Linked DNA regions of Tamandua tetradactyla. The protein of the gene in region 3 purifies or fractionates together with the protein of the main gene of each other region. This does not show direct contact. Links are inferred from orthologs where the notes say so. Each region holds a gene or a part of one and is shown on either strand. Other genes may lie near its edges.

Region 1 (7,449 bases), on a different chromosome or scaffold from region 3:
GAAGGCACGCGGGCAAATAGCTGGGGGACACAGGAAGTAGAGCTGGAGAGGGGCATGGCGGGGGTCTCCCCCTGCGGATGAGCGAGTAAATCTGTCATTCAAGCGCCCCTAAGTGCACTTGGGATGGATGGCCAGGGGGGAGTCCCCACTCTGGCCCTGAGAGCTCTGGAGCTGCTCCCCAGGGGTGCCCCTCCCCAAGGGGGCAGACCCTACCCAGCTCTTAAAGTGCTCGGCGCTCCCCCAGGGTGTGAAGAGCTGGGGTCAGAGGGCGAAGAGCAGGACGAGAACCAGCAGAAGCACGCCCAGCAGGACCGCGATGGCACACCACTGTCGGCGATCTGGCAAGGGGGCGGGTTGAGGGGGGCAGTCCAGAGGGCCGGAGGTCATGGGGAAAAGGGGGCCTCCATGACTACCCAGGGCACTTACCACTAGTCATGTGGGAGGCTTTGGCCATTCTCCTGAGGACCCCGTCCATCCGGGAGTGGGTGTGATCCATCTCCTGAGCAAACGCGTCCAGCATGCTGCCAAGAGCACAGGGTCAGTGGCCCAGGGAGGGACCGAGGCTCCAGGGCAGCTGCGGGCTCCTGGCCCTCCCCCAGGGGGTCCTGGCCTCTCACATGCCCTGTTCGTCCAGCTCCTCTCCGACGCACCCAGACATGTGCTTCAGGACCCGAATGCTGCCAGACACCATTTCTAGCTGTTGGTCCTGCTGGTCCAGGATCAGCTGGGCAGGGGAGGGGTGGGAGGGGCTGAGCTGTCTGCAGCCCCCACCCCCCCACGCTCAGCCACAGCTCCTGCCCAGCGCCCGCACCCCCCCCACCCGCCCTCCCACACACCTGCTGTGTGACCTGCTGCTCCTCAATGTAGCGCGAGGTGGCCGAGACCGCGCTGGCATCCAGCAGGTCGCTGGATGACTTCTGGGTGGCCGCCTTGCCCGCCAACAGCTGTGGGTTCAGAGACCACCAGCTCAGGGAGGGGATGCCCGTGTTCAGCGGGGCCAGATGCAGATGGTGGCAAATGTACCCATGAATGCGGTCCCTAGGGGTGTGGGCAGGGGGTGGGGGTGGGGTCTGGGGGTCCAATCCCAGCCCCACCACTTACTAGTGAGGTGACCTTAGCCCTGTCACCTGGAGCCCTCTGTGCCTCTGTTTCCCCATCTGTGAAACCGGGACTGCTACAGTTCTCATTGACATCACTCATTACTGTCATTTCGGAATGCTGGAGGCAGACAGAGCCAGAGGAGAGCCCGGGTTTGAATCTGGTTTCCACTGCCTACTCTACTGGGCACAGGCTGGGTCCCCCTGCTTCTTGGGCTCTGCCTCCCAGGACTCACAAAGCTTCTAGCATGGGTCCGCCATGGCCCGAGCACAGCAGAATGCTCTCTGCTACTGCACCAGGCTGTGCCTTTCTGAGTTCGAACTGTAATCCACAAGGTGGCCCGCGTGGAAGGTATGTGGGCACTGCTATAGCACATCAGCCTGGTGCGGGACTCCGTGCCTCCACCCACCCACACCCCACGCCAGCTCACAACAGGACACCTAAAGGCTGGGGTTTTATCACATGCAAAGAAAAGGCACATGACCCAGAGGGAAAAGGCATCCAAACAGAGAAGGCAGGGAGCCTACACACAACAGGGTGCGTAAGCAGAAAGGACAGACATGCACACAAGGTAGGTATGCAGGCTTCCCCATCCCCAGCTCCCTCAATGTAAGGAAACTAGTACCCACCACGCAGAAAGGGAGAAGGCTTGAGGATAGGTGCCTGAAGTACAAATCAACCCACAGGGAGGACTTGGGATGGGGGACACAGGCAGAAAGAGCAGGCTGGCATCTAGGGAGGGGATGCACATTGGCCGGGAGGGACCAGGCGCCCACATACCCAGGAGAGAGGCGTGAACACACACACGGAACAGACTCGAACTCAGAGCGCAGGGGCCCAGAGGGGGCTCAGGCCAGGACGCTGTGCCAGGAGGCCTCACCTCTCTGTTGTTCCTCTCCAGCAAGGCAACGGCTGTGGGCCTGACCATATGGTCCTTCATTTCCTGGGGGAGAAGGAGTCAAGACACCCCAACCTTCCCACACTCACTTCCCCGGGGTCCGACACACACACACACACACACACACACACACACACACACACACACACACACACACACACACACACACACACACACACACACACACACACACACACACACACACACACACACACACACACACACACACACACACCCCGCCTTCTGGAGGGGGCGGGTCCTCTCCTTACCTGGACAGCCTCTCGCATCCGCTCCACAAACGCCCTCCTCTCCTGCAGGTCGCCGGCTGGGAGCTTGAACTTGCCCGGGTTGGCCTCCACGATGCGTGAGCGGGGAGTCAAGGGTCAAGGTCAGGGCCGGACAGGAGTAGAGGCTGCCCCCCTTCCTCAAAATCTTCCGGATGTGGGGGTACAGCGCTCCCCCCCAACGCCCCCCACCGTCCCGTGCCACTGCCGCCCAGCAGGATATCGATGGTCTCTTCCAGGTCCTCCAGGTCCCACTCGATGCTGCGCAGGCCGTTCCGCAACTCATTGGTGGTCCAGTCCAGCTCCTCGCGGCCCGCCGCCGCGCCCTCCAGCAGGAGCTCGCACCAGCGCTGGTACAGCCCGCGGGACGCATTCACCGCCTTCTGCACCTCGCTGTGGGCAGGGCACAGCGGGGGTGGCTGGGGACAGGCGGCATCCCCTGCGGCGCCCCCAAACAGGTGGAGACCCTCGGATCCCCCCGAGACGACCCCGGCCCCGCACCCGACGGCGGCGCGCGGGCAGCCTGGTATCGCCCCGGCCCGCGCTGGGAGCAGGGGAAGGGGACTGAGCACCCGCCGCCCGCCCCGGTCGCCGTCACTCACCCTCGCACGACAAAAAACGGGTCTTCGAGAGACATGTCACTCCCCCCCTCCCCTCGGCCGAGCCACCTCCCCGCTCGGCCCTGCTTGCTTGCTCCCTCGGGGCGGAGGACCACGCGCCGGCTTCCCCGCCCCCCCCGTCACGTGACCCGAACCGCCATAGAGAGTAGGGCCGCCAGCCGAGAAAGAGAGGTCTTACAGGAGGATGGGCGGGGCGCGAAGCGCCAAAACTTCCGCCCTCACCTAGGCCGCGCCGTAGCCATCTTGGCTATGGGCGGAGGCGGCTTCCTGTCCGCGTGCTCCGCCCCCTTCTCCTGCGCCCGCCAGATTTAAGGTCGAAGCGCCGACTGTTGGTTCGAGACCCAACGCCTCTGGTTGTGGCTGTATAACCTCGGCCTCCCTTCTGGGCAGTCTGATTACTAATCACCTCCCTGAACCCAGACAACTGGAGAAGGGGCTCATTCGATTCTTCTTAGCTCCGTTTAGCGAACTCCCGAGGGGCTGCACTCCAGATTCGTCCCGCGAGGCCGTCCCAGCCTAGGGACCCGAATGACAGGGCTGGGAAGGAGTTGGGTAGAGGCGCGTAATCTGCGGGGCGTTTCGCCGCCTCCTTCTGCTGCGGGAGGGAAGGGGGCGCCTCGAGGTCGCTCTAAGGAGAACCGGGAGTGACGGGGCCCCGAAGATGCTCCTGGGCGGGACTCACCTCCGGGAGGATGTGCGGAGGTGGACTTTGTACTGCTTCTCCTCTCTATGAGCGGAAGTTTTGGGGGGGCGAGAGTGGGGGTCGCGGGGCAGTGGGTTCTGAGGCTGGCTTCCAGGGGAGTCCCCTGCCTGGGGCGTCTCTGAATGGGGAGGGCCCGAAATGTCTAGGGAGGATCTCAACGGCCCCACCTGGATGACTGAGGCACTCGGTGTGGGGCCTCCCGGAAAGCGCTTTATCTGGGGGTGGGGGTGGGCGGCGGGTCTGGAGCCTGAGTGGAGCCTGGGGAGTTTGTTCCCATCCATCCCGGTGGGAAGGATGTCTGGGGGAGTCCCGGATGGCCGCCCCCAGGTGGGCCAGAGTCGCTTATGGGGTCGCATATAGCGTCCAGCGAGTAGGCCATCGTGGGGGTGTCCGTGGTGGCGGTGTGTGGCAGAGTTGCTGACTGGATCAGTTTGGGAGGGGAGTAATTGTTGAGTCCCCATGTTGGGGGGAAGGGTGCGGCACCTAAAGGAGCATTGGGAAGATCGCTTTTATTTGTGTGTGTTGGGGGTACAACCTGGAAGGGGTCCTTGTAGGGCATATCGCTGTGGGGGAGCAAGGGATGAAGGGGTCATGGGCGGGTAGCTCTGTGTGTCGCACGGCCTCTGGAAAATGGCGTTAGTGGGAACCCTGAGGTCGTCCGCAGACGGGAGGGGTCCTTCCGGGAGGGGCGCCAAGCATTCCTGGCCCCCGCAGGGAAGGAAGCGAAACCTTCCTCTCCCTCCACGCCCGCAATCCACCGACCCCGTTGGACGTCGGGCCGGAAGCCGCGGGCTCCAGCGGGACCAAGCTGCCCCGGAGGGGGTGTGCCTGGTAGGCCAAGCGCCCGCCCCCGGCCCGCCCGGAAGAAACGCGCTACCACCAGCTAAGGAGATCTCGACCCCTGACCTTATATGGGCAGCCGGAAGCGGCGCGCGCGCGCTGACGTCGCTATTTCCAAATATAGTCGTGGAAGTCCAGTCGCTCTAGTGGCGGGAAGGCTCCCGGGCCAGGACTGGAGTGGGGGCAGGGGCCCTCCCCTTAAAGGGCCCGCACCACGAATGAGTGCAGGCACTCGGACAATTTTTCATCCTTTTTTTGAAGGACCGGAATAAGGTTTTCTTGGAGCGATGGCGCGTGGCGAGGGAGGTGATGTTTTCTTTTTCCTCTGGCTCTGCGGGGCTCACTTCAGCTCGCCGAAACCCGCCTCCCAGGGGGTAGGTTGGAGGCGGGGCCTGGCCGCGACGTCGGGGGGGCGGCAGCCACGTGTTCCCGGGGACTGCCCTGCAGGGGGACTCGCTGCCTTACTAGTGCGAAAACCCACGCGTGGAGCTCGTGTCGCGGAAACCGAAGGGATGTGCCCAGTGAGAAGCGCGGAAGTGGCCGCCTGGGCCGCGCCCGGGAGCCTGCGGCTATCGGTCACTGGCAGGGGATAGGCAAATTCGTACTCCCCACCTCCCCAGCCGAGCCAGCGCGGCCTCTTTTCTTCCCGTAAACAAGGGAGGCGTGAGGACTGGTGGACGCTAGAGGGAAAGACGGGGACCCATGCACAGCGCCCAGAAACTATCCCAGTGCCCCCCTTTTACTGTAGTGGCCCATTCATTCGTTTAGCAAATATTAGGCCAAACAAAAACAAAAAAAGTAAATATTAGGCCAGCCAGTCTGCCTCGGTTTCCCCACTTGAACAAAGCAGGTGTAACAACCCTCCTCTGAATGGAGGAAGAAAGTCAATGAGATAATACTGAAAAGGCTCAACAGCGCCTGGGACATAGTAGGCGTTTAATAAACGTTAGCAGCGTTACTATTAATTCAGCGATAGATGCCAGGAACTGTGCCCGCGGGGGTCGTACGGGCTTGAACCGGATCTTCCCCGGTGCGAAGGGAAAACTGCAACCTGCGCCCCGCTGGGACTTCCAGACGCGAGCACGTGGGTGGTCCCTGGGCCCCAACCGCGGTCACCACCACCCCCCCGCCCCCAGGGGCTGCGCGCGGCTGCGTCGGCGGGGCCCTGAGAAAGGGGGCCGTCCCAGGAGTTTAGCGCGGAGTGGGGGGCGTTCCCCCTTGTTTGGGTCCCCGTCCCTTTTCCCCGCTTGGTAAACCCCATCCTGTAGCTTTAAGGAGTCTCTTTGGCCACCGAGCGGTGGAAAGCCCGGATGCGGCCCTCTGATTGGGCGGGGCGAGGTCGTGACGTCACTGGGCATATAAAACAGTCCGGGTGGCGGGCGCCGGGGCAGAGCGTCCCGGCGGTGTCACGGTGCTGGTAGGCGTGTGGAGGGAGGTGTGAGCTAGCGCGTTGTCCACGGTGCACCTGCTGTGGTTCCTGCCCGAGCCGGGGAGTCCTCGTCGCCGTCGAGCCGCCATGGAAGTGCAGAAGGAGGCGCAACGCATCATGACTCTGTCGGTGTGGAAGATGTACCACTCACGCATGCAGCGCGGCGGCCTGCGGCTGCACCGGAGCCTACAACTGTCGCTGGTCATGCGCAGCGCCCGGGAACTCTACCTCTCGGCCAAGGTGGAGGCCCACGAGCCCGAGGTGCCCTTGCCGCCCGCCCGCTCCCCTGACCCTCGCCTGCACCCGCCGCGGGAAGCGGAAGCCGAGGAAGCCCAGGCAGCGCCCTCCGTCGGTGAGCCACCCTCCCCAGAGCCCATGGACACGCAGGAGGCTCCCGGAGCCGTGGAGCCTCCAGTCCGCGGTGACCCGCGATCCGCCAAAGCCAACCGCAAGCGGCGGAGCAGCAGCCTGAGCGACGGCGGGGACGTGGGGCTGGTCCCGACCAAGAAAGCCCGTCTGGAAGAAGAGGAGGAGGAGGAGGAGAAGGGGGCGCCGTCGGAGGTCCCGGATCGCCTGCAGCCCCCGCCTGCGCAAGCGGAGGGCGCCTTTCCCAACCTGGCGCGCGTCCTGCAGCGGCGCTTCTCGGGCCTCCTGAACTGCGGCCCCGCCGCCCCCCCGACGGCGCCCGCGGCGTGCGACGCGAAGCCGGCCTGTCGCCCGCCGGACAGCATGCTCAACGTGCTCGTGCGGGCCGTGGTGGCCTTCTGAGGGCCCCCGACCCGCGGGGACCTGAGCCCAGAGCGCGGGCCGAGCGGTCGGCCCGAGCGCGCACACGCACCCTTCCCCCTGCCGGGGAGGGTGGACCCGCGGAAGCCGTGGAAAGAAGCCGCCGCCCGGGCTGCTGAGAGGCCCCGAGGACTCGACCCCCGGGGACCCGTCGCCATCTGTGCGCAGCGGCGACGCCGAGGAGCCGGAGCCGGGGACGCGGGCGCCTTCCGCCGAGATCTGGCGCGCCCCCCAGGTGCTGTCTTAACCCACTGGGACTCGGACCTTTTCCCCGGATCTCCTGGGACTGGGAGACCGGGAGGCCAGTTCTTTCATCTCCTCAGGGTCGGACTTTTATTATTATTATTTTTTTATTAGGGGCCTGCGCTGCCCATTCAAGGTTTTCTCACTAGATGGTGTTTGCGTTTCTAACCTCAGCATCCCAGGCGCCCGAGTCCCCTTCCCCCTCTCCAGGAACATACTTGTGCAAGCGGTCACCGTTGCGTCATGGGGCAGACGTGGGGAGTTTCCTGCTCTTGGCGTGGGTGTGGGCCTGGGAGGAGGGTCTGGGGTGCGGGCCCGCCGGGGAGGGGGTGGGGAGCGGGAGGAGGGCGCCTGAGTCACGCGGCCCAGCGCTGCGAGTTAGTGCCCCGGGCCCCTGCGCCCTTCGGTGGGGCGGGGGTCGACCCCGGGGTCGATGGACACATTTCTCTAATGGGGACTTGGAGGTGGGGTTGCTGGCTGGCCCGAGTCTCCAGCGTGATCGTCCTTCAGACACACGGACACCTCAACCCAGACCTTTTCGGGTCTGA
Region 2 (7,231 bases), on a different chromosome or scaffold from region 3:
TGTCAATAATATAGAATAGGGGGATATAATATGTTTTTCATAAGTATTATTTTAAATGGCAGGAGAAGAAATATCTTGTCAGGTTGAAAGGGATACATTATGATCTCTATTCTACACCCAGCCTTGAGTTACCACAGCCCCAACAAGTCTGTTTCTCCTATTTCTTTTTTAAGTTCATCATTCATTCTATTGGCCAAGTGAGATAACACAGACACCCTTGAATTTTTCTCCCTCACTCCGTATCACCTGCTTAAAATCCTTTACTGATTCTCCATATCATGTCCCAGGATCTTAATGTGACACTTAGGACTCCTGACAATGTGGCTTTACCTCACTTTCCCCATCTCCTACTACTCTCCCCCACACACCTGAAGCCACTTATAGTTGGAAGTATCCAATTTTTAATTCTTTTGTTGCCTTTTCCCATTTCCCCTCTGTCTAGCAAACACCTACTCCTTCCCTTAGACTCAACTCCAAGTGTAAAACTTTGCCCTCCCTCTCCCATGCTTAAGGTAGTTGTTTTTAATGGTCTTAGAGAACTTTATTTTAGGATGCATCATACACGTTGTTGTAAATTTGCTTCCCTTTAAGGCAAGAACTCTTAGGAGTTCTCAGGGCCCAGGAAAGTGACTGCCGCATGTAATTCTCAATAAATGTTAACTGAAAAATAACTGAATTCAGCTACAGATCATAAGCTAAATGCAAGGGCTGAGTTATAGACATTACACAGTATCTACCAACTCACAGTGAGAATTAAATCTCTGAAAAGTTTATGAAGTGGTCTCAGAATCAGGAAAGAAGGATTTGGAAAAGAGGCCCAGAGTGTTTGCTTAATTAAATTCGATTTATTCAGCATTTATTGAAAGACAAGTACAGACAAGACAGTGAAAAATGAGATTAAGTTTTATTATAGCCCTGAGAATGTATATATAGTATACATTAGCCATTAATTAATTAAGCCCATTACATGCAATTTATGTCAGCGTACTTTGGGCTTGAGCACCACTGCACATCTTTTCACTAGATTCTTTGCAAGAATGGGAAGAATGTTAAGTAGATGACAAAGATGAATATAACTCAGGTTTCTATTTTTCAAAATGGAATACCCTTTTGTATTATTTAGCATTAAAGAAATGGATGTCGCAGAACTTAATTCAGTGCCAGGCTGAAACCGCAGTCTTTTTTTCAACCATATAAATCAGATCCTGGTCTCTACTGCTGAATATCCTTTAAATGAATCCCATTTAGAAGACGATGCAAATCTTTTATCATGGTCTACAAGACCCCATATGGTCTGGGCCATCTCTCTCCAGTTTCATCTACCACCACTCTTCCTTCTGCCAACTCCACATGGAATGCACTGGCCCTACTGCTCTTCCTTGAACATACCAAACCCATTTCTACTTACGGGCCTTTGCAGTGCTAGTCCCTCCTCCTAACCCTACTACCAGATTCATGCATGATTTACTCCCTCACTTCATTCAAGTCTCTGTTCAAATACCCCCCTCCTCAGAAAGACCTTTTCCAGCCACCCTATTTAAAACTGGTGCCTCCCTCACTCTACTTCTTTACAGGGCTTTATTTTTCTGTATAGCCCTTAACAACTCCTCTTAATACTTAAATATTGTTTGTCATCCGCCCTCTGGAATGGAGATTTGCATGTCTTTTTCACTGTGATACTGTATCTAGGACAGTGCCTGGCACATAGCAGTCTTCTAATATTTGTTTAAAAAAATATATATGAATTTCATTCTCACTAGTCACTCAATTCACATGTCCTTGGTAATTCAGAGAGCAAACTCAAAGTCTTGTTCTCGTTGCCATACAGATCTATTCAGCAAGAGCCAAGAAGCTATGACAGGATTTCCTACAGATTTAAATGAAAAAACGTAGCTCTAGGCAGAGCTTGCAACAACCTGAAGCTTGAACTCAAGAGGCAGGAAGCAGCAAGAAACTTCACAACAGGACCTCACCTCAAGACCACAATCCTGATTTTAAAATCTCCCCTACCACGCTAGTGTTTACCAACTCTTAACAAATTTTTGAATCTCAAAGTAATGATTCCTTTTTGAGTTTTCAACCCAATGTCTCTTGACATTTAAACACCAGTTTGCGATGCTTTTAAATGCACAAAATAAATTACATAAGTCTACAAAAGATTTAAGAACCCTTGTGCTCTTTCTGCCATGACGAAAAAATGAGACAAGAAAATTTTGAGAGGGCCACGAGAAGATCAAAAGGGAAGATCCCTGGGAGACGACACCCCGAGGTCCCTCCCTGAGTCTTCAGCCCAGTCGAAGTGGCGGCGGGGAGATCCTGGCTACGGAACCTAGCCAGCCCTGTGGCGCGTCTGAAGATGAGGAACAGGGAGAGAAAAGCCTGGGTCTGGGAGGAGGGTCGGGGCTCTTCTTCCCAGAGCGCGAGGAGCCCAGTTTCCCACATCCCGGCCAGCCCTCGCCTCACCGGTCCCCGCTGTCCCCAGCAGCCGCTCCGGCACTCCTCGTAAATCTTCAAGTAGGCCGCGGAAGATTTCATGCAACTTCTCGAAATGCTCCGAGGAGACCGCGGAGGTGGCCATGGCGCAGGCCGCACTTCGGCTGTGGCCGCCGAGATTCTGGCCTCGGGAATCTGCTCCTAGCCCGGCAGTCAGCCGCCTTGGCCGGCCAGCATCACGACGACCCCCGCCACCGCCTAGGCGAGGCGCTTCCGGGGCCGGCAGCGGGGTCCTTTCAGGCTGGAACGCCCATTTCTCCCGCCCCTTTTCTCTCTCTCCCTTTCTCTCTCTCTCTCTCTTTCTCTCGCGTCGCCCCGGAAGCGTCGAGTGCGAACGCCTGACAGAAAATCAGGCCAGATGCGCAGCCGAAGGGTTGATGGAGGAGCGGCGCCGCGCTGGGGTGAGCTGCGGTCCTCCGGGCCCGGAAATACCCGGCCTGGGATTGGCTGGGGCGCCAAAGCGGAAAGATGGGAAGGAAGCCGCAGACCCGGCAGCACGGCCGCCTCCCTCCGAGGCCCCGCGGGCTTGGCGAAGGGCGCGCGCTGCAGTGCAGGCCGGGAGTTGTAGTTCGGCGCGGATGACGGGAGTCACGCGTTCCGCGGAGTGGGTGGTTCCGTCAGCACCGCGGCTGCTCGGGGTCGCCGCTGACGTGCAGTGGTTTGGTATCAAGATATGCCTTGACCCCCTCAGTGCATGTCTTGACTCATACCTTAACTTTCCGTTTTCGAAAGGTAGTCGGGCCGGGTTCCTACTTGCCCATGGGCGGGTAAAGCGCTTATACTGGGTAGGTCAGGTGGCCACGGGTCACACGCTTTCAGAAGTGGAAGCCAGGCAGTGTGACCCCAAAGTTCACACTCTTAGCCTCTAGCAGTCCGGCTCGCGTAATGCATGAGGTTGCCTCGTGCATTGCATTCATTCACTCTACAGGGGCTTGTTATAGGCATTGTGCCGGGATGTGGATATGATGGTGAATAAAACAATTTTACTCTCTGTCCCGGGGTAATTTATAATCAGGTAGAGAAGGCAGACCTGGCTACCTACCACTGGATGCAATGTGTTAACAATTTAGTCATTTCCTGCACGCCATGGGTGTAAATACTTAGTGTAATGGTTAATGGAAGAAAATTCCTATTTTCACTGACCTCACCATTTGTCTAAACTGAAATGTTTGCTTGGAAGCCCAATATTTAAACTGCCTACACATATGAAAAAGTATATGAATATTCTTTTTAGTGCTTTCTATCTCTTAGACCTTTATTTTTGTCAGATTGAGTTCGCTGACAGTTGAGTCAACAAGCCCTTGTTGAGTTACTAACAGACACTGAGAATACAGAAATAACAAAGTCTGGGGTTAGTGGCAGTGAACTGATATAAGTCCCATAGGACTGTGTTATGGAAGTAAAGGAGCAGATATAAAAAGGAGAGATAGCCTGGAATAAACAAGAAACATGGGAAAAGGTGGTATCTGAACAGTGTCATAGAAGATAAGTAGGAATTAGGTGAATGAATAATCAAATTATCACAAAACCCAAATTAATGTCATTTGAACTGAAACTGGACTGCAGCTAGACAGGGAAAATCATTCTTTAGAATGAGGAATTAATGAATAACTGTAATAATGAAAAGTATTTTCTTCTTTTGACCATATAATTAAACCTTTGTTGAATTCTTATACTTTTTAAATTGGTAAGTAAAAACATAATCAAAAAGACTTTTATTTGTCACTGACATTCAATTTAAATCAAGTAATAAAGTATTAATTCAGCTATTCTACTGCATTATCATCAAAACAAAAGATTTCCTATTTTCCATAATATGACCATTTCTAAATATACACTTCAATGGTCAAAACAATCTCAACAAAAGATTATTAATTTACAATTATGAGAAGTGGAGACTGTGGTCCTATTACTGTTTTCCCTACCAAAGTTAAACATATAAATTGCCAGTTCAAGAAAATCTCAGACTCTGATAGAATAATGTACTGTAAACAAGTGATGAAACATTACCAATTTCTCTGATTTCCTCTGGCAGCATTAGAGCCACCATTGCACTGCCCTTTATTTATTTTTATTTTTTTGCATTACTTTTATTAAAAGTCCTCCAAATAAAATACAGATTTTTACCAAATAGACATTTTAGCATTGTCAAGATAATATAAAGAAATGCCTTGAAAGGTTATTAAATTGAATGTAATTACTGAAAGTCAGTCCTTAGGATAATTATTCTGAGTAAAGAATTGGGATTTTTTTTTTTTTTTTTTGCCCGCCACCTTGGTCGATTGGTTCTTGTTAACCAATAAGGGTCTCATCAGTCTAGGTGATTCAGTGCTTACCCTCAATTCTGCTATAGCTTTTCCTGTCTTTAGACGTTTTGTGTCTTTTTTATAAATCCTCAACTAGTTCCTTCATTGCATGCTTTATATCTCCCAGGATTCTTCCCTTTTTTGGACTTCTCTGCTATCCATATGGATAGCTTCTTGGTGGGAAGTTATCAACAAATGCAGAGTCTGCATCCGTTAGCAGCTCTACCCATGTGCATCAAAGACGGAATGACACTGACACTGGTCTGCTCCATCTCTGATGTGGACCCTGCATGGAGGTCCAGTTTAATACTCCTCCTTTGTGGCTGTTTTGAATTTTCTGAAAATATTCCCAACTGAAGAGATACACAAGAAAACACACAAAGATAAGCCCAATGACAAACAGCCTTTCCCTTCTTCTGGTTTTCTGAGAAGCTAAGGGCACAAAAAAAGGAAGCCTTGCTGAGTACTGGGTCAGTAACTGAAGTCAGGTGGCCATCATACTGCTCTCTTCATGCCCCCTGCTTGCTGATCTGAGAAACAGCAGGAAAATGACACTCTGAACTTGATGTTTATTTCTGCCTCCCTCCCACAGTTAAAACCAAACCCCACAGACTACTTACAAAAGGAAGCTCTTCTATAGTCTAGACCTGAAAGTGTCTTAACAAAGTGACTCTGGCTTGTCAAAGATAAGGCAGAGCCATAGTCCAGAGTCAGTTAAGAGTTTTCTGAAAGAATCCAGATATTGGTGCTGTGAGGGTTTTCTTAAAGAAGTGAAAGAGGAACTCTGCTCTTGAGCCAAGTCACTGTGATTCCTGGAGTTTAGATGAGGCTGCAAGTGTGGTCCTCTTAAAGTCAAGAAGGTTGGGTGGCAGGAAATACATGGTGAATAAAGAGGAAAGTAACTAGTCCAAATTCCCATAAATCAACCCTACCATAGCTTGGCTCCTCCTATGCATTAGGTTTTGGGGAGAAAATATGATCTGTGCAAGTCATATGAGGGTTTTCATATTCTATATTCTAGTAATTCTGGCAGTAACAGGAATAAAATAGATCTGGACAAATGAAAGGCATTTAGATGAATCTGGCAGTGTACTGGCCTTTTACTGAATACCAAGCAGGCAAGGCTGGAAGATTTTGCTCCTTTCTGGCTGCCCTGAAGGAGAGTCAGTTTGGTAGGGAGTGGTAAGCAGACTCCTGCAGTCTTCTTTTGGGTCTGGCGGCCACCACCTGTCAATCCACTGGAATGCTGAGCAGGTCACAGCTGACATCCCACAGCCGTCTTGCTATCGTCTCATTACGAGCCTGAGCAGAGACCCAGGCCACATGACAGTCACTAGAAGGGAAAGAGGGGGGCTTAATGCACAGGGCTCAGGATTAAATCTGTTCTCTGTCTGGGATAGGGGATATGACAGAAAAACAACCCAGAGATAACATATCTTCTAGTTGCTTCACAGGATCCAATCTGTATCCCACAGAAAGTATAGTGTTTTTAGACCTCTTCCTAGACCTCCTCTGATCATACCACTTTGTCTGATATACAGTGTGTACCATTTAGTCTTTTTCTTTTTTTTTTGCATGGGCAGGCACCGGGAAATGAATCCGGGTCTCTGGCATGGCAGGCAAGAACTCTGCTTGCTGAGCCACCGTGGCCGCCATCGTTTAGTCTTTATAATCCTCTTTGTATGGATGGATGTAAGTGTAATATCAGTGCCTGTCTGACACCTGTGTCAGCTTGTTCAAATAAGTCTATAAGGTGCGTATTACAGGACCTTGGCCGTATACAGTGTCACACAGCTGAAATCCTGCTGTTTGCATTGGTCATGGGTGCTTAGAGTAGGAAAAAGCATTTCTTTTCTGGTCTATCTGCATTTAAAACTATTTTGTGGCTAGTGTAAGTAAAACCAGCTTCAAAAACAACTAAAGAAAGGAAAAGTTAAAAAAAAAAACATGCATTCAGTCATGTGTGGCATAAAATGCAAAATGCGCATTGTAATGCATGTCCAGACAAGCCACATCACCACAATCTCCAGTCTGAAAGACCCAGAGCCTAGAGTGGTGATGAGCCAACAGGGCAGAGGTATCCAGGCCAGTGAACTGGATCCCTCTGGAATACTGTTAGCCACTGGAGCAGACAACACCAGCAGTGTTGCCATCTATATCGTCTGCCTATACTAGATCCCGTGTGTGTGGGAAGTGACAGACACAAGGCCTGAATCTTTTGCATTGTGTGGATCAGCGAACTTCAGACAGTATCTGGCTCATGTGATGGCTCTATGTGACAACAGGAGGTGAGAGAAGATGTGTTGATCAAAATGATGCCAAGCGCAATGTGCCACATGCACCATGCATGCCTTTATCACTCACAAGGACTTACAAGATATCACCAAGGAGGACACAAACCCTGACAACTACAAGGTCTTATTTAATTACAA
Region 3 (7,630 bases):
TGGAGTCCTAGGCTTCACAGCCTGCCCTGCGGATTTCGGACTCTGCGTTCCTGCAGTCAAGTGAGACACTTTTATAAATTTTTTATTTGCAGGCATTCCCTGTTGATTCTGTTTCTCTAGAGAACCCTAACTAATACAATTTATTATTGATATCATTTTGCCTATATATATGTATGTCCATACACACACTCTATCAGAGCAGGGGTTTTGACTGTCCTTTTCATCCTCTTGCCCAGGCACCTAGAACAATGCTTGGCATATAGTAGATGCTCAAAGAACGCTTGCTACATGAATGCTCCAATCTACTATATGCTTGGGACTAAGATAAATTCTAGAAATACAAAGATGAGAAGTCATGTCCCCTACCTCAAAGGAGCTAACAATCTAGCAGGGGAGACAGACCACACCTCAAGAAGAGAAGGAAGAGAGCGTCACAGGTTCAGGTATTCCCCATAGTTTCCTCTATGGGGTGAAAAAACAAGTCACCTGTATAGTTGACGTGTTAACCACTACAGAACTGTAATAATTGATTTTAAAAATTATAAAAAGGCTGATGTTCACAAGAGACAGACCTATTCCAATTTGGCTTGCCATATATTAGCTGAGCAGTATTTAACTACTCTCAGCCCATTTCCATAAAATGAAAACAATATCGGTACCTACTGCACAGGATTGTCATAAATTTAATTAAGACAATGCATGGAAAGCACTTTTCATACTGCCTGGCACACAGTATGTACTCAATAAATGTTAGCTATTAATGCTATTAGTAGTTGACTTCAATGATCCCCTTGGGCCCAATATCAAATCAACAGCTAAGTCTTATTAGTTCTATCTCCAAGCAAACCTCTCCTATCCTTTCCTTCCTTTTCGTTCTCACAGTCCCTGATAGCTGAGTCCAGTCTCTCTTCCTTCCAATTTAATTTACACATTCCTAAATAATTAATTCTAAGCCCCTTGGCCCAACACTTAAAGCCCTTCATGTGTGGTGCCAACTTACCTTCCCAACCCTATTTTCTACTGTTTTCCTGAATCCATCACTCTAGCCAAACCGAATTACTCTACTTTCCCATATACACCCCATGCTTTTCTACTACCGAGACTGCTCATTTTATTCTCTCCTCCTGGAATGCTCTTCTCCTCTTTACCTTCAAAAGTCCAATTTCTTTCTATCATCATCTTTCTAGATTTAGCTAGAATACTATAATCTTTCTCTGATACCTCCCCAAATGGAAATGTCCCCTCTCTTCCCTGAATACCCAGATAATGTCATATGTGTGTCTTCTATAGCACTGATCCCTTTTGACTTTATTTATATTCAGGTTATTTATGTATTTCAAAGGCCTGCTGACAAAAGAATCTGTGCCAGTTCCTATACTTACTCCATATCCAGGTAAACAAATAACATCTTGAATGAATACTTCACAAACAAACAAACACAAAAATTAGATTTAACCTCAACAAGAAGCTTTCAGCCTTCAACCAGAATTTTCTGATCTAACCAGTATTTCATCTCCCTCACAAAAGGAAACTGAAGCACAAAGTAGTATCCTTTCTATCCACTGGTCATGTTAATTTATTTTTATTTCTGGATTTAACGGACCATACACGTTTCTCTACTTCCACATCACTCAATCTCAATTCCTTCCCATCAGAAACTTTCTGCCTCTCAAATTTTCATTACACATTTAAATTTAAAAGCAAAGTGACAGTTTATCCTTTAAAATACAGGACATAATTGAATTCAGGACCCAGTAGTTCTATTAACAGCACATAGCAAAACTCACAAATACACAATACTAAACAACAATGATGATAATCACCATTCTTTCCAAGTAAAGTTGCTGCTGCTCACCACCTGTTTACAAGGCTCTGAATTCAGACTTATGCTAGTCTCACTAGCCACTGATGGTGGGGAGGGGATTTGGGGACATTCTGAATTCTGCCACCAACTCTACCAGGTCTTAGTGTGTGATTGTGGTCAGATCCCTGAGCCTCTCCGTGCATCAGAATTGTTGGAAAGAGTAGCTCAATATGGAAGGAAACTAAAGTCTCATCCCACTTGTAATCCAAAAACATACATAAATCCTTTGCTACACAAAAGACAAAATAATGTAAACTGAGATGTTTTCAATGAATTCTCTTTATTAAAACAGAAGTCATCCCATACCTAAAACACAGTCATTGTATCTGGTTCCCATATTCATTACAGAAAGAACTGTTTATAAAGTCATCCAAATACACGCACTCCGTACTTCCTTTCACTGAAAACTGCTAATTTAGGAGGAATCAGAGGCCGAGAAGAATGTCAATGTAAAGCCTAAATCAGTAAACAACCCCCTATCCAAACTGGCCAAAGAGGGAAGGGATGAGGGTGGGTGGAAGACGGGTGACAGGAAAAACTCGGCTGACTACTAATGCCAAGCCAACACCACACTGCTCTCGAGGTGGCATCCCCTCAGCCTCCGGCTGTCAAGTCTGCAGTTTCGGCCCCAAAACCGTAATAGCTGAACTCCTGAAAAGAACCTCGAGCTTCAGCTGGGGTTCGGAACCCTCCAGGAGCCAGGACCTGACATACTAGGGGATGGCAGCTCAACGCCCCAAGAGTGGAGAGCCTGACGGCCTCAGGCGTGGCCTTCGCTGAAGCCCGAACCAGGCTCCGCGTCCCGGCGGCCTCATCCAGGCCTGTCCCCGGGACGGCGCCCGCCCCCCAGCCCGGTCCCTCCGGCTCACTGGCTTGGCTGATCCGCTGGATGTTGCCGCTGCACGTCTGGATGATGCTGTTGAAGTCCCGGAGCTGGGGCCCCGAGGGCCCCGGGTTCCGGTACATGTCTAAAGGGCCGTAGGACATGACGAGGAGTTGACACCCGCGGGCCGGGCACTGAGCTCCGACCGGAAGCAGCCGTCAGACTGGACCCGCAGGCCGACCGGGAAACCGGGAAGAGAAGGGCAGGGAAAGAGCTGAGGCTGCGCGCGCATTAGCCCCCGCCCTCACGCAGTGCGCATGCGTCGCTGGAAGAGTGCCTGGGGCTGTAGCTTAGAGACCCGACACACAGAGGTTTGGGGATGCGGGGCGGGGCGATGATGTCACATAATTGGGACTCAAATTGGGTACGTCAGTGGCGGGGCACAGTGACAGGAGGCAAGAATTTACTATTTGCATAAAATTATACCAGATGATCTCAGCCATTACTTCCCATTCTGATCTATTCTGAGAAGTCAGGCCCGAGTCTAGGAGAATTTGACAACCTCGAAACTCATATCCTTAACCTTAAACTCATATCCTAAACCAAACTCCTGAAATTCCTTTCTCTATTTCCATCCTTTAGGGGCTCTAGTAGTATTTGCGGAGCCTACAACCAGTTTCATTTCTCCCTCCACCCCTTTTCTAATTTTAAATATTTTTTTTAATTTTATTTATTTATTTTGTTTTGTCTTAATATTTTTGAGCACCTAGTGTTGTGTGAATCCTAAATTCACTTGTTTACAAGCTCTTTCACAGTAAGGATCGATGTTCTATCCATATAGAACTTGCTGGGAAACTTGCAACAAAAGACACTGTTTCTCTGGAGGTCTGATATAAGCATTGCACCATGGACCATTTTGAAGAACTGGATACGTTGCATTTGAATATTCCAGTCATCTTGGTATTCTTGGCTACTGAAGGATTTGGTTTGCCATTTGAGTGCTGTAGATTAGGGGATATCAGTTAAGTGTAATATCTCCTGCTTGAAATCTCTGAAAAGCACTGAGCATTCATTTGCTTTTTGTAAGTAGGCAGACAGTACTGTCCTCCATTTTCCTAGATCTTGTCAGGCTTTCATCTAAAAGTTCTTCCTTACCTGCTTACTTGTTCATTTTTTGTGTGTTTTTTTTCCATAGGAAAGAATATATAAATTTGTAAATCCTCATTCAAAGAAAAAAATTATTTTGAATAAATAATAGACGGTCAATTTTTTAAAGCTGAAGTAACTCTGCAAAGTAAGCTTTATTTTTTTCCGTTTTACAGACGAGGAAAAAATAAGGCCATAGAGGTTAATTCGCTTTAATGAGATTTGACTACAAAACTCATACACTATGTTGACTCCGTCATCATCTCTCTATTTCCCTAAAATTCAACCCCGTATTCCCAAATTCATTCTCCATCTAATCCCTCCCAAGTAGCCTCTTCATGTATTCCAAACCGGGATTTCTTGGGGAAATAGACTCCCAAAATTTAAAGTCATTTCCTTAAGTAATTTGGAGTATGCAGCCTCAATATTCCTACAGAAGGCTGCATTGTGTGAGCAAACGATGAAGGGAAAGACAGCAGTAGGATTTGGGTTTGGGAGGAGATCAAGATAGAGAGAAGTGAAGGGAAATAGGCATTTTTTCCTGTGTTCTTCACTCCCCCACCCTCCACCCCCAAGCATGCCTTACAGTCTCTGGAAAACGGCAAAGAGAGGAAGCTGTTTGCCTGTTTACATCTTGGGAGGGGTCCCCAAATGGGTGAATAAGCCTGCATTCAGCCTTAGAGCTTTTGTAAACAAGTCTATCTCCTTTTTTTTTTTTTTCCAGCATCTCTTTCTGTATAGGAGACAGTGATACTGGGGGTTCTCATACTGGTTTTTAAAACTACTGTTCTTAGAATCCATAGTTTTATGTCAAAACTTGTAATAAATCATGCATATTGTACTTTTTACCCAAAAAACTGTCTTGAGGATGTTTTGACACTACTTATAGTGAAATTCAGTACAGCTACTTATCTCCTAGGAATTGAAGATATAGTTGTTGCTGTTATTTTCTTCCTCCGTCTAAAATAAAAGTGGTTTTCCATCTGTGCAGCTCTATAGCAGTGAACTTTTGCTTTGCAAATACTAGATGCCAAATAAACATTTATTGAACTCATAAATGAATAATAAAAACTAACCTTACCATTTCATAAATGCCTAATCAGGTGTTAAGCAGTGTACACACGTTCTGCGCACATTACTGGTAATCCCCAAGATAAAGCCCACCTTAAAAAAAGACTACCTGTGCTCTAACAAAGTTAGGCATACTAACTTGCTGTTACAAGGAAGACTTTACCCAAGAGGAATCTTCAGGCATCTTGATAGAGTTATTCTAGGTCTTAGGGAAAAGATGGAGTGAAGGTAAAATTTAAAAGAAGTGATGTTTTGACAGCCTCAAAGCACACCAGGTTATATGCAAAGAGATTAACATCAGGTCCGACTAACCAGGAGATTCAGGATCCTGTCTCCCTGGAAACCACAATGTGACGATAAATGACGAATGTTGTATATGGAAACCCCTTATCTGAAGCTCTGCACCTGGGTTGGAAAATGGAAATTGCTATTCAGTGTCAAAGTAACTCAGATCCTCCAGAGTAGAGTGAAATGTTCCACTTCTACTAATATATTTCAATCAGCATATTTTCTGAAAATCTATTATTTTAAAGGATAAGTTTCTCAGTACTTTGCTCCTTTGTTCATTAACAAAAGCAGTTTTCCCATCAAGGTGAGATTAGCTACTTGGTACAGTAAGGAGACTGTTCTCAAGAGGTTGTGGGTCCTTGCCCAAGGTCATACAGCAAAGCCAGGATTCATACATATCCTACAACTGAATAATTCTACTCCTAACTATATATACCCAACAGATGTGTATACATATGCACTCAAAAAACAGGTACAGGAATGTTCATAGAAATATTCTTTTAAAATTAGGCAGCATTTTTTTTAAAAATCAAGATTACCAATAGAAAGTGCATAACACTCTAGCATATTTTTAAATTTTATTATTTATTTCTACAACCAAACACTTTGTCTTCCTCCCACCCTTCATCTGCTGTTAACCTCTAATGTGATTTCTATGGCTGCAAATTTGCTATACCTAGTCATCGCCCACAAATAATATCGTATAATTTTTGTCCTTATGGACAATGCTTATTTTATGGAGCAAAAACATATATATTTTTTTTACATGAGCAGGCACGGAGCAAAATGTTTTTAAGATTATCCTCTGTTGCAGCATGTCTCAAAACTTCATTCTTACGGCCAAATAATATTCCATTGCATATGTGTAATACATTTTGTTTATCCTTTCATTTGTTGAAGGACTCGGGGGTTTTTTCCAACTTTTGGCTATTGTGAATAATGCTGCTATAAACACTGATGTACAAGTATCTCCTTGAGACTCCTGCCTTCACTCTCTTTGAGTATATAACTAGAAGTGGAATTGCCACTTACAGTGGCCAATAAAATATAATTTTATATTTAACTGTTTGAGGAAACTTTATTCTGCTTTCCACAGTGGGTGCACCACTTTACATTCTCACCAACAATGCACTAGAGTTTCGATTTCTCTGCATTCTCTCCAACACTTATTTTCCATTTCTTTAAATAATAGCCATTCCTATAAGTGTAACGTGGTATCTCATGGTTTTGATTTACATTTCCCTAATGTCTGTTGATGTTAAGCATCCTTTCATGTATTTATTGGACATTTGTATATCTTTGGAGAAATGTCTATTCAAGTCCTTTGCCCATTTTTGTAAGTGAGTTGTTTGTCTTTTTGTTGTAGCATTATAAAAGTTCTTTATATATTCTGGATATTAAGCCCTTATCCAATATGTGGATTGAAACTATTTGCTCCCATTCTGTGAGTTGTCTTTCTATTTTCTTGATAACTTCCTGTGTACAGAAAAGTTTTAAATTTGATAACATTAAATTTATCTATTATTTCTTTTGTTGCTCATGCTTTTGGTGTCATATCTAAAATCTATCAGTGAATCCCAGGTCATGAAAATTTGCTATGTTACCTTCTAAGAATTTTACAGCTTTAGCTTTTATATTTAGGTTCCTGATCCATTTTGAGTTGATTTTTTTAATTATATGGTGTGAGAGAGGGGTCTAACTTCATTTTCTGCATGTGGATATCTAGTTTTCTCAACATCATTTGTTAAAGACTAATGTTTCCCCATTGCATGTAATTAGCACTCTTGTCAAAATCAATTGCCCGTAGGGTGGGCCACAGTGGCTCAGAAGGCAGCGTTCTCACCTGCCATGCCAGAGACCCGGGTTCAATTCCTGGTTTCTGCCCATGCAAAAAAAAAAAAAAAAATCAATTGGCCATAGATGTGTGGCTCTTATTCTGGAATTTCAATTCTGTTCCTTTGATCTATTTGTCTGTATTTATGCCACACTATTTTTTTTCATTTTTATTTAATTTTATTTCTTCTATAAGCATGAGCATTTAGTTCAAATATTTTTACAATTTCACACTATTTTTGTAACTGAAACTTTGTAGAACAATTTGAAATTGGGAAGCGTGAGTCCTCCAACCCTGTGCATCATTTGCGGGAATGCTTTGACAATATAGGGCCCCTTGCAGATCTATATAAATTTGGTTTTTCTATTTCTACAGGAATGGCTGCTGGAAATTTGATAGGGATTATTATCCCTAATTACTGCACTTTGCTGCTTCAAAATTTCTGTTTGGTTCCTTTTTATAATTTCAATCTGTTTATTTTGTTCAATCAACTTTTTCCTAATTTCCTTTAGTTCTTTGTGTATAGATTCTTTAGCTGATTAAACATATTTAAGACAGCTGATTGAAAATCTTTGACTAATAATTCAAATAATTCAAATATATC
Region 4 (7,427 bases), on a different chromosome or scaffold from region 3:
GACCAGACCACTTGGTATTTGCATATCTAGAGATGGCTTACTCTTTCTAATATGCATAATTTATTTAATCAGTCCCCTACTAATAAAAACATCTAGGAACTCTTACTTCTTGATACCATTTTTCATTTAAAAGAAAACAAGTGACTGTACGGTTTCAAATCAGAGATTAGCCTACTAGATGTGTAACTGCAGTATTTATATGTAACTTGTCTGCCTAATTACTCTTTTCATTGGATACACATATTAATCCTAAAGGGTCTACTATAATACTCATATGACAAAACACACACTATGCATATTACTCACTAAGCCATTCCAAGCTTGCTAGCATTTACCACTCTCCTCTTCTCATACAGTAACCTTCAGATTACCAGTTCTCTAACATAGATATGCAATTAACAACCATTTCACATTTTTCCTTTTTAAATACCTTCCTTTTAATCAAAGTTAATACTTCTGAACTAGCCTGCTCAGGCAGGCTTCACACCCTCTACCTCTTTCTAGGCCTCTTCAAAAACCATCTAGCCCTACCAAATTCAAATATCAAAACAGTTAGACACATCCTTACTTCATCTAATGTAGAATGTTTGTTTCTACTTTGCTTTAAAAACCCTGAGATGCTTCAAAACGCACACATAATCAATGTGTTAAAAATCTTTGGTTCTTTACACAAGGCCATGTGTTTCCAAAAACATTTTCCAAAATTCATATTTCAGTAAAATGAAACTAGCAAATCTAGGAAAACTCTGACAAAAGGATGCTTACAATTTACTCCTCTTTTAAATTGTTATTTATCTGTCTATTTGGAAGAGAGTCAGAGTATGGGAGAATAAATAAAATTCTGGGAATAATGGTAAAACCTATTGCATATCCTTGAGTTTTCTCCTTATACTTTTGTTCCAAACCCTCCATATTAACTACATTTTACATGTAATTTTCTCTAAAATTAGATTGTAACAATCAATGGGTATTAGTTGGAGGACTATAAAAGAGGACACACACTATTTTAGCAAAATTGCATATTGATTCAAAAGTGTTTTGGAAAAACTTTATGTGAATTATGTCTTAAAATAATCCAAGAATTCATAGCAAGTATAGAATTGAAAGTAAAAGTAATGCCACAAATTTATTTGCATTATTAAAGTAGTTTAGTCAAGGGCACTAATTTAAAAGTCAAATTGTCTTCTGTTCATGATTAAGTTTCTCTAAAATTACTACAACTGAATATTTATTAAATGGTAAATCATGGGGAAAAAAAACATCTAGCAAGTATCTTTAACTGAAGCCTCCTATCATTTTTAAATCCCATTAGCTAACTCTTAACTGTAATGCAGCTTGCTTCTCAGCAGAACCGCTTAGAGTATCTAACTTTGTGTAACAGCAAAATGATAGCTTTGTTATCATACAGCCTGAAAGTTACCACTTAACTCTAGGTAGGTGAGCCTGAGAAACTTATCAGACTCTCAGAGACTTCATCTAAAATGTGCTGCAAAAAGCCACCTTCCATTACAAGATCTCATTAATTTTTTGCGACATACTTGAGTGTATCTGGCACATATGGAGTAGGTGTTAAATAAATCTGAATACTGCCTTCCACTGTTTCATTCACAACCAAAGTGAAAGGTCTAAAACAAATTTTAAGATTTCCCATGGGGCTTAGAACAGTACTAGGCTCTTAGTAAGTGCTCAAAGTTATCTGTGGTTTGAATAATTCATCATTATTATTATCATGGTGAATGATGTAATAAGTTTAAAAAAAAACTTTCCTTAACTGGTAATGCAGTCCCAAATTTATAAGGGCCATGGAAAACTGACTCCACAACAGGATATATTTTTATTCTAAAAATGACTAAAGTGAGTAGAAGGAGGAGGAAGGTAAAAAGCATTTCCTTAACTATAATTATGTTACTGAAATTCATACGAAATATTAAACTGACACATAGTAAGCATCCCTTAATTAGTAACTAATAGTAAGACACATTGGAGAGAAGACGAAAGGAGGAAAAAGGAGGTTGTCAGTCACAAGAGGTCGAAAGATGTCCCTGGCCTGTGACCCACAGGCCTTTAAGCACAAGGGTCTATGAGCTCCCTGCCCCACTGGAAACCGAAGGAGGTCAACGGCCTTCCCCAAAGGTCAAAGCTCTGGAGCCACCTTTCCAGCTAGGGCTGGGAGCAGAACCTAAACGCCCCCACGAGAATCCGTTCCCCTAAACCAGAAGCACCGCCAGCTATAATCCGAGCTGGTGCTGGGAGATGGGACTAGTTATCCCCGCGCCGCAACATGCACCAGCAGAGACATCGCCGCGTCCTGCAACCCCACAGCCCTGCTAAGGGGAACAGTAGGACCCTCGAGCTCTGATTCGCATCAACGCGGTTCGGTACCTTCATACTCACACTCACGGCCGACCTCTCTTACTCCATCGCACCGCCGAGACCCCGGGGAGGGAGCTCCCTCACGCCCCAGACCCCCAGCTTCTGTTTTGGGTCCGGCGGCCCACTCCCGACCGGCTCCCCCCCGGGCACCGCCGCCGCCAGCGCGCAGGCGCACAACACAGCCGTCGCGCTCCTTTTTTTTTTCTCTCTCTCTCTTTGCCGTCCGCCATTCTCAATAATCTAACTTTATTAGAACCCAGAAGTGAACAATGCACACAGGGGTAGAGGGTTTATTCTGAAAGAATGGAAGACCAAAGATGGTTGGGTTTGCAGGAGCTGCACTGGATCCGACTGTGACTAGCCTCCTTGGTCCCTTTTTCACTCTCTGTTGTATTTTCAGGCCTCCTTGCTCCTACTCTCTTCTTAAATACTCCACGGTTCCCTTTTGACAATGACAACTGTTTCAGCTAACTTTCTAATTCCTTGTAATATTTAATAAAGCTTAACGAAAGTGTTACCAAACACAGGCCATGGATCCTTGTGCCCCACACGCTCAAATGACCCATTCCTGAGACACCCGGGTTTCAAAGAGAGAAAAAGTGTATAACTAGACACAGCAGATCAGATGGCCTACGGCTCCAAAAGCTGTCTTCCCAAACTGCAATAATTTTGATAGTTTTATTGTAGCAAAAGATGGGCAGGTTTTAGGATAATGAGCACAGTGGTCCCAGCTGATGTGATTAGAAGTGATCAGATTATTGAGCATGTGCAGGCGGATTACATACTTAGCCACAGAATTTATGTAAGAAAATGGTGGCTTTATTATGATGATGTGCATGATTTTTAGTATAATGAGGTATAGGGGAACTTTATAGCTTAAAATCTAAGCTACTCTGCATGTCAGGTGGGCCCATTTTGGTTAGATCCAGTTTAGGTTATCAAGATAACTGGACTTGGGGCGGGCTAGTTTTGGGCTGACCCAGGACCCTTCATTAATAAATATTAGGGGCTGTCTTTAGTGATCATAAACTTTAAAGTTGAAAAACTGGATAAATGGTACAAGTGAAGTTTAGTCACAAGGTTTCTCTCTCTCTCTCTCTTTTTTTTTTTTTTTTCTTTTTGCATGGGCAGGCACCAGAATCAAACCCCGGTCTCTGGCATGGCAGGCAATAAGTCTGCCTGCTGTGCCACCATGGCCCGCCCTGTTACAAGGTTTTTACAATCACAGGTGCAGAAGAGAAAGGCTATATAATCATTATCAGAGATTCAGGCAGTTGGATTACAATTCAAAGATTTCAGGTATTTCCCTCTGACCATTCTAATACACCAGAAAGCAAAAGGGAACATCTATACAGCTATAATTCAGTAATTAAAATCATCTCTTAAATCTCAATTTCTCAGTTACAGAAGTTGCCTCAGAACTTTAGACAGACCTCAGCTCAAATCTTAACCTAGCTATAGTAATTTGCAACTTTGGACAAATTCCAAGTTTCTTTGGACCCTCCATTCCCTCAGAGTTAAAATTAGGTTGATGGTGTTGCTAGGATTAAAAGAGGTAACAGGGAGGACCAGGTGGCTCAGCAGGCAGAGTTCTTGCCTGCCATGCCCGAGACCTGGGTTCAATTCCTGGTGCTTGCCTGCGCAAAAAAAAAAAAAAGAGGTAACATAGGTCAAGTATCTATTCATGCATCAAGCAAACCAACAACTATATTATTATTCATAACAAGTAATTTTATTTATTAAAAATCTTAGCCCCTACCCATTCCCTCAGGACTCTATTTTAGTGATAAATATTAGTCAAATAAACCAAGTTACGTTAAGGCTGGTGATGGCGTAATGTGTCCCTCCTCTTACATTATTGAAATAACATCTCTTTTTAACAAGACCTTTAGTGCCTCAAATCAAAATAAGCAGCTACCTCCTTCATCTATATGTGAAGGCAAAGTTGCTTCTAGAAGTTTAGAAAACTTCCAATTCTGTATTTGTGACATCACAAGTCCTTAAAACACTTGAAAGTTGGGGTGTGCTGCTCATTCTACTCTCCTTTAAAGACAAGCAATGAAAAAACAGCTTAACCCAATAATCTCAGGGCTATAGTCCAAGGATAAACCTATAGAAGATTAAGGTCAGATATTGGTAAGCACCAAGGTAACCCTACATCAGGGTTTCTCAACCTTGGCACTATTGACATTTTTTTGACCAGATAAGTGTTTGTCATGAGGGAGTGTATGGTGTATTAGGATGTTTAGCAGCATCCCTGGCTACTCGATGCTAGTAGCAGCTCCCCACTTCTCCAAGTTATGACAATCAGATAGGTCTCTAGAAGTTGCCACATGTTTCCTGGGGGCAAATCACCTCCAGATGAGAACCATTTCCCTAGACAAAAGTAAAAATGTTCCTTACAGAAAGGGAAGCTAGTGTTCCGTCCCTACCTCAAGGTGATTAGGTTTTTGCTGCTTGGGTTACCATAATGTATAGATTATGACTGAAATGGAAATCAAATTCACTAAAATCTTAAGAGTTTTAAGATCTGGCATAACATTAAATTGTAGACCAGTCAAGTCTCCAGAGTTTCCTAATTTTAAAATTCAACATTTTTTGCCTGAAAATCTTTTTCATGCCCCACCCACCCCGGGGAAGTGGGTGGGGGTGAGGGTGGGTGGCAGATTTGAAGGAGAGAAGAAATCTATGTAAGGATGATTCTCAGGCTGTTTTTTTTTTCTGCCACTAATTCATTTCAGTGAAAGAATACACATTTATCTCTACCTTGCCATCATTCTGGATAACTTCCACCTCCGTGTGGACATGTAATCCAACAATAAAATCTCTTAACTCCTTAAACTCAACCTAATCTACTACTCTATGCTATTTCAGCTACCCACATCCATAGCAATACCCTGGACCTTCTTATCACCTGCAATTTCTTTACCTCTAAATTCCCTAATGTAACTATCACTTTCTTTGTCCAAACACCTTCTGTCTTGCAGTTTCTTTGGCCAACCACACTCTGTGACTTTCTTTGACCTCATCAAAAACTCCTATTCATTGATTCCACACTTTTATTTCCCAATCCATCAGCCTTTTCCTGACTTCTGACTTGAATCCCATGATCTGTCATCTTTTGGCAATAACTTGAGCTCCCTTGCATGTCTGTGTTTATTCTACCACGGTTTCTCAACTTTAGCACTATTGTTATTTTGGACAGATAAATCATTGTGGGGCCTATCCTGTTTATTATGGGTGGTTCAGCAGCATTCCTGATCACTAGATGCCACCCCCCCACCCCCCACCCCCATGAGAACAACCAAAAATGTCACCAGGCATTGCCAAATATCTCCTGCTGGCAAAATTGTCCCCTGTTGAGAACCATCACATTATACAAATGCCCATCACAACCTGAAATGAACTTGACCACACAATTTTCTTCACCTCTGCCCTTAAGAAGTAGTGACTGCTTGAGAAAGCCACACCCCAGTACAGACTGGTGAGTTCATTTTAAGTTGCTTTAACTAGGCCTTCACTGCTTACCAGGCCTACTACTTTTCTCTGATCAACTTTCTCAATTTCTGCAACAAATACTTCAAATCTCTTCAATTTCCTTAATACTGCCAGCACCATCTCCTTTACTTTCAGCAGATGACCTCATCTCCTACTTCACAGAGGAAATAGAGGTCATCAGATGAAAACTTCAACTTTCTGTTTATTAAATGTACAAATTTACAAACTGCCACACAGTTCCTCTTGTTATAATTGAGGGGGTATTATCTGTCTTCCAAGTCTATTCCTCCTGCCACTGCTTTAGATTGTCTCTCTTATCTGCTCAAGTTTTTTACCATTATTGACTATCTCTTCTCTTTCTTGTTTAAGCAATCTTTTTTTCTCAGTTGGATCTTCCCCATTACGCTCAAGTTTCTTCTGTCTTAATTCTAACAAAAATGCAAAATAGAAACAAAAACACTTTGATCCTCATCTTTTAACTATCATCCCTTCTCTCTCCTCCCCATCAAGGCCAAACCTTCCAAAAGCATTCTACAACCTGCCCTCATTTCAGCATCCCCCTCTCCAACCTACTGCTATTTTAACTAAATTCAAAAGATATTTCTCAGGCTTCATCTTTCTTGATTGCTTAAGGATAGACTTGTCTCTCTTCTTTAAACACTCTTTGCTTGATTTCAATGATTGTTCCTTATTCTTAAAGGTGTTTGAAAGGATTCCTGGAGGAAGTGGCTTAAAATAATCATCTACCCAGCTTAAAATCCACCTTTCAGTAGCTCTCCATGGACATAGTATAAAGCGCAGACTTCCTAGTCAAAAAATGCAAGTCACTCCAAGATCTGGCCATTGCCTATTTTTTTTCAATGCAATTTTATTGCTATATTCACATACCATATAATCATCCAAAGTATACAATCAATGGCATACAGTACCATCATATAGTTGTGCGTTCATCACCACAATCAATTTTAGAACATTTTCATTACTCCAAAAAAAATAAAAATAAAAATAAAGAAGAAAACACAGCGGCCCATACCTTTCACCCCCCCCATTATTTATTTTTTGTCTTTATTTTCTGCCTATATACTGAATAAAGGGGAGTGTCAGTCACAAATTTCACAATCACACGGTCACACCATTAAAGCAATACAGTTAAACAATTATCAAGAATCAATTTGCCTTTTTTTTTTCAAATTAAGACCCATTTATTTGAACAGCTAACATGAAAATAGTGACAGTATCAAGTGCTGATGAGTATGTGGAAAAACTAGATTTCGAATGTTTTTGTGATGGGAATATAGAATGGTGCAGTCATTCTGGAAAATATTCCTTTTTAAAAAAATTTTTCGTAACTGTGTAAGTTTATAGTTCAACAAAATATTGTTTAGTTTTGTGGGTTTTTCAAACTTTATGCAAGGTACCATAGTTTAAGTAGCCTTCTGGGACTTGATTTTTTATTTAGTATTATGTTGCTAAGATTCTTGATGCATGTAGCCGTAGCTCATTTTTTTCTGTCCTAAAATATTTCATTGCAACATTATACAACGTGGTCCTCCATA

What was found.
Region 1: the proteins of STX12 (region 3) and STX10 purify together in Homo sapiens (affinity purification with mass spectrometry; 3 studies listed by BioGRID and IntAct, counting the BioPlex papers as one, with this or other methods). This does not show direct contact. The link is inferred for Tamandua tetradactyla from reciprocal best matches to the Homo sapiens genes STX12 and STX10.
Region 2: the proteins of STX12 (region 3) and VTI1B purify together in Homo sapiens (affinity purification with mass spectrometry; 3 studies listed by BioGRID and IntAct, counting the BioPlex papers as one, with this or other methods). This does not show direct contact. The link is inferred for Tamandua tetradactyla from reciprocal best matches to the Homo sapiens genes STX12 and VTI1B.
Region 4: the proteins of STX12 (region 3) and SNAP23 purify together in Homo sapiens (affinity purification with mass spectrometry; 3 studies listed by BioGRID and IntAct, counting the BioPlex papers as one, with this or other methods). This does not show direct contact. The link is inferred for Tamandua tetradactyla from reciprocal best matches to the Homo sapiens genes STX12 and SNAP23.

What each region holds. Positions count from the first base shown.
Region 1 is NC_135337.1:89,556,879-89,564,327, reverse strand, and holds the start of STX10 (syntaxin-10), read right to left. Parts: upstream 3,005-7,449; 5' UTR 2,918-3,004; coding exon 2,883-2,917; intron 2,674-2,882; coding exon 2,504-2,673; intron 2,372-2,503; coding exon of another isoform or gene 2,361-2,371; coding exon 2,266-2,360; intron 2,042-2,265; coding exon 1,979-2,041; intron 945-1,978; coding exon 837-944; intron 725-836; coding exon 618-724; intron 522-617; coding exon 427-521; intron 339-426; coding exon 262-338; 3' UTR 1-261. Other genes in the region: IER2 (immediate early response gene 2 protein), read left to right, coding at 5,960-6,640. UniProt on the Homo sapiens protein: SNARE involved in vesicular transport from the late endosomes to the trans-Golgi network.
Region 2 is NC_135338.1:25,310,024-25,317,254, forward strand, and holds the start of VTI1B (vesicle transport through interaction with t-SNAREs homolog 1B), read right to left. Parts: upstream 3,004-7,231; 5' UTR 2,579-3,003; coding exon 2,464-2,578; intron 1-2,463. Other genes in the region: RDH11 (retinol dehydrogenase 11), read right to left, coding at 6,030-6,132. UniProt on the Homo sapiens protein: V-SNARE that mediates vesicle transport pathways through interactions with t-SNAREs on the target membrane. These interactions are proposed to mediate aspects of the specificity of vesicle trafficking and to promote fusion of the lipid bilayers.
Region 3 is NC_135328.1:198,555,096-198,562,725, forward strand, and holds the start of STX12 (syntaxin-12), read right to left. Parts: upstream 3,005-7,630; 5' UTR 2,852-3,004; coding exon 2,734-2,851; intron 1-2,733. UniProt on the Homo sapiens protein: SNARE promoting fusion of transport vesicles with target membranes. Together with SNARE STX6, promotes movement of vesicles from endosomes to the cell membrane, and may therefore function in the endocytic recycling pathway.
Region 4 is NC_135340.1:56,366,159-56,373,585, forward strand, and holds the start of SNAP23 (synaptosomal-associated protein 23), read left to right. Parts: upstream 1-4,410; 5' UTR 4,411-4,509; intron 4,510-7,427. UniProt on the Homo sapiens protein: Essential component of the high affinity receptor for the general membrane fusion machinery and an important regulator of transport vesicle docking and fusion.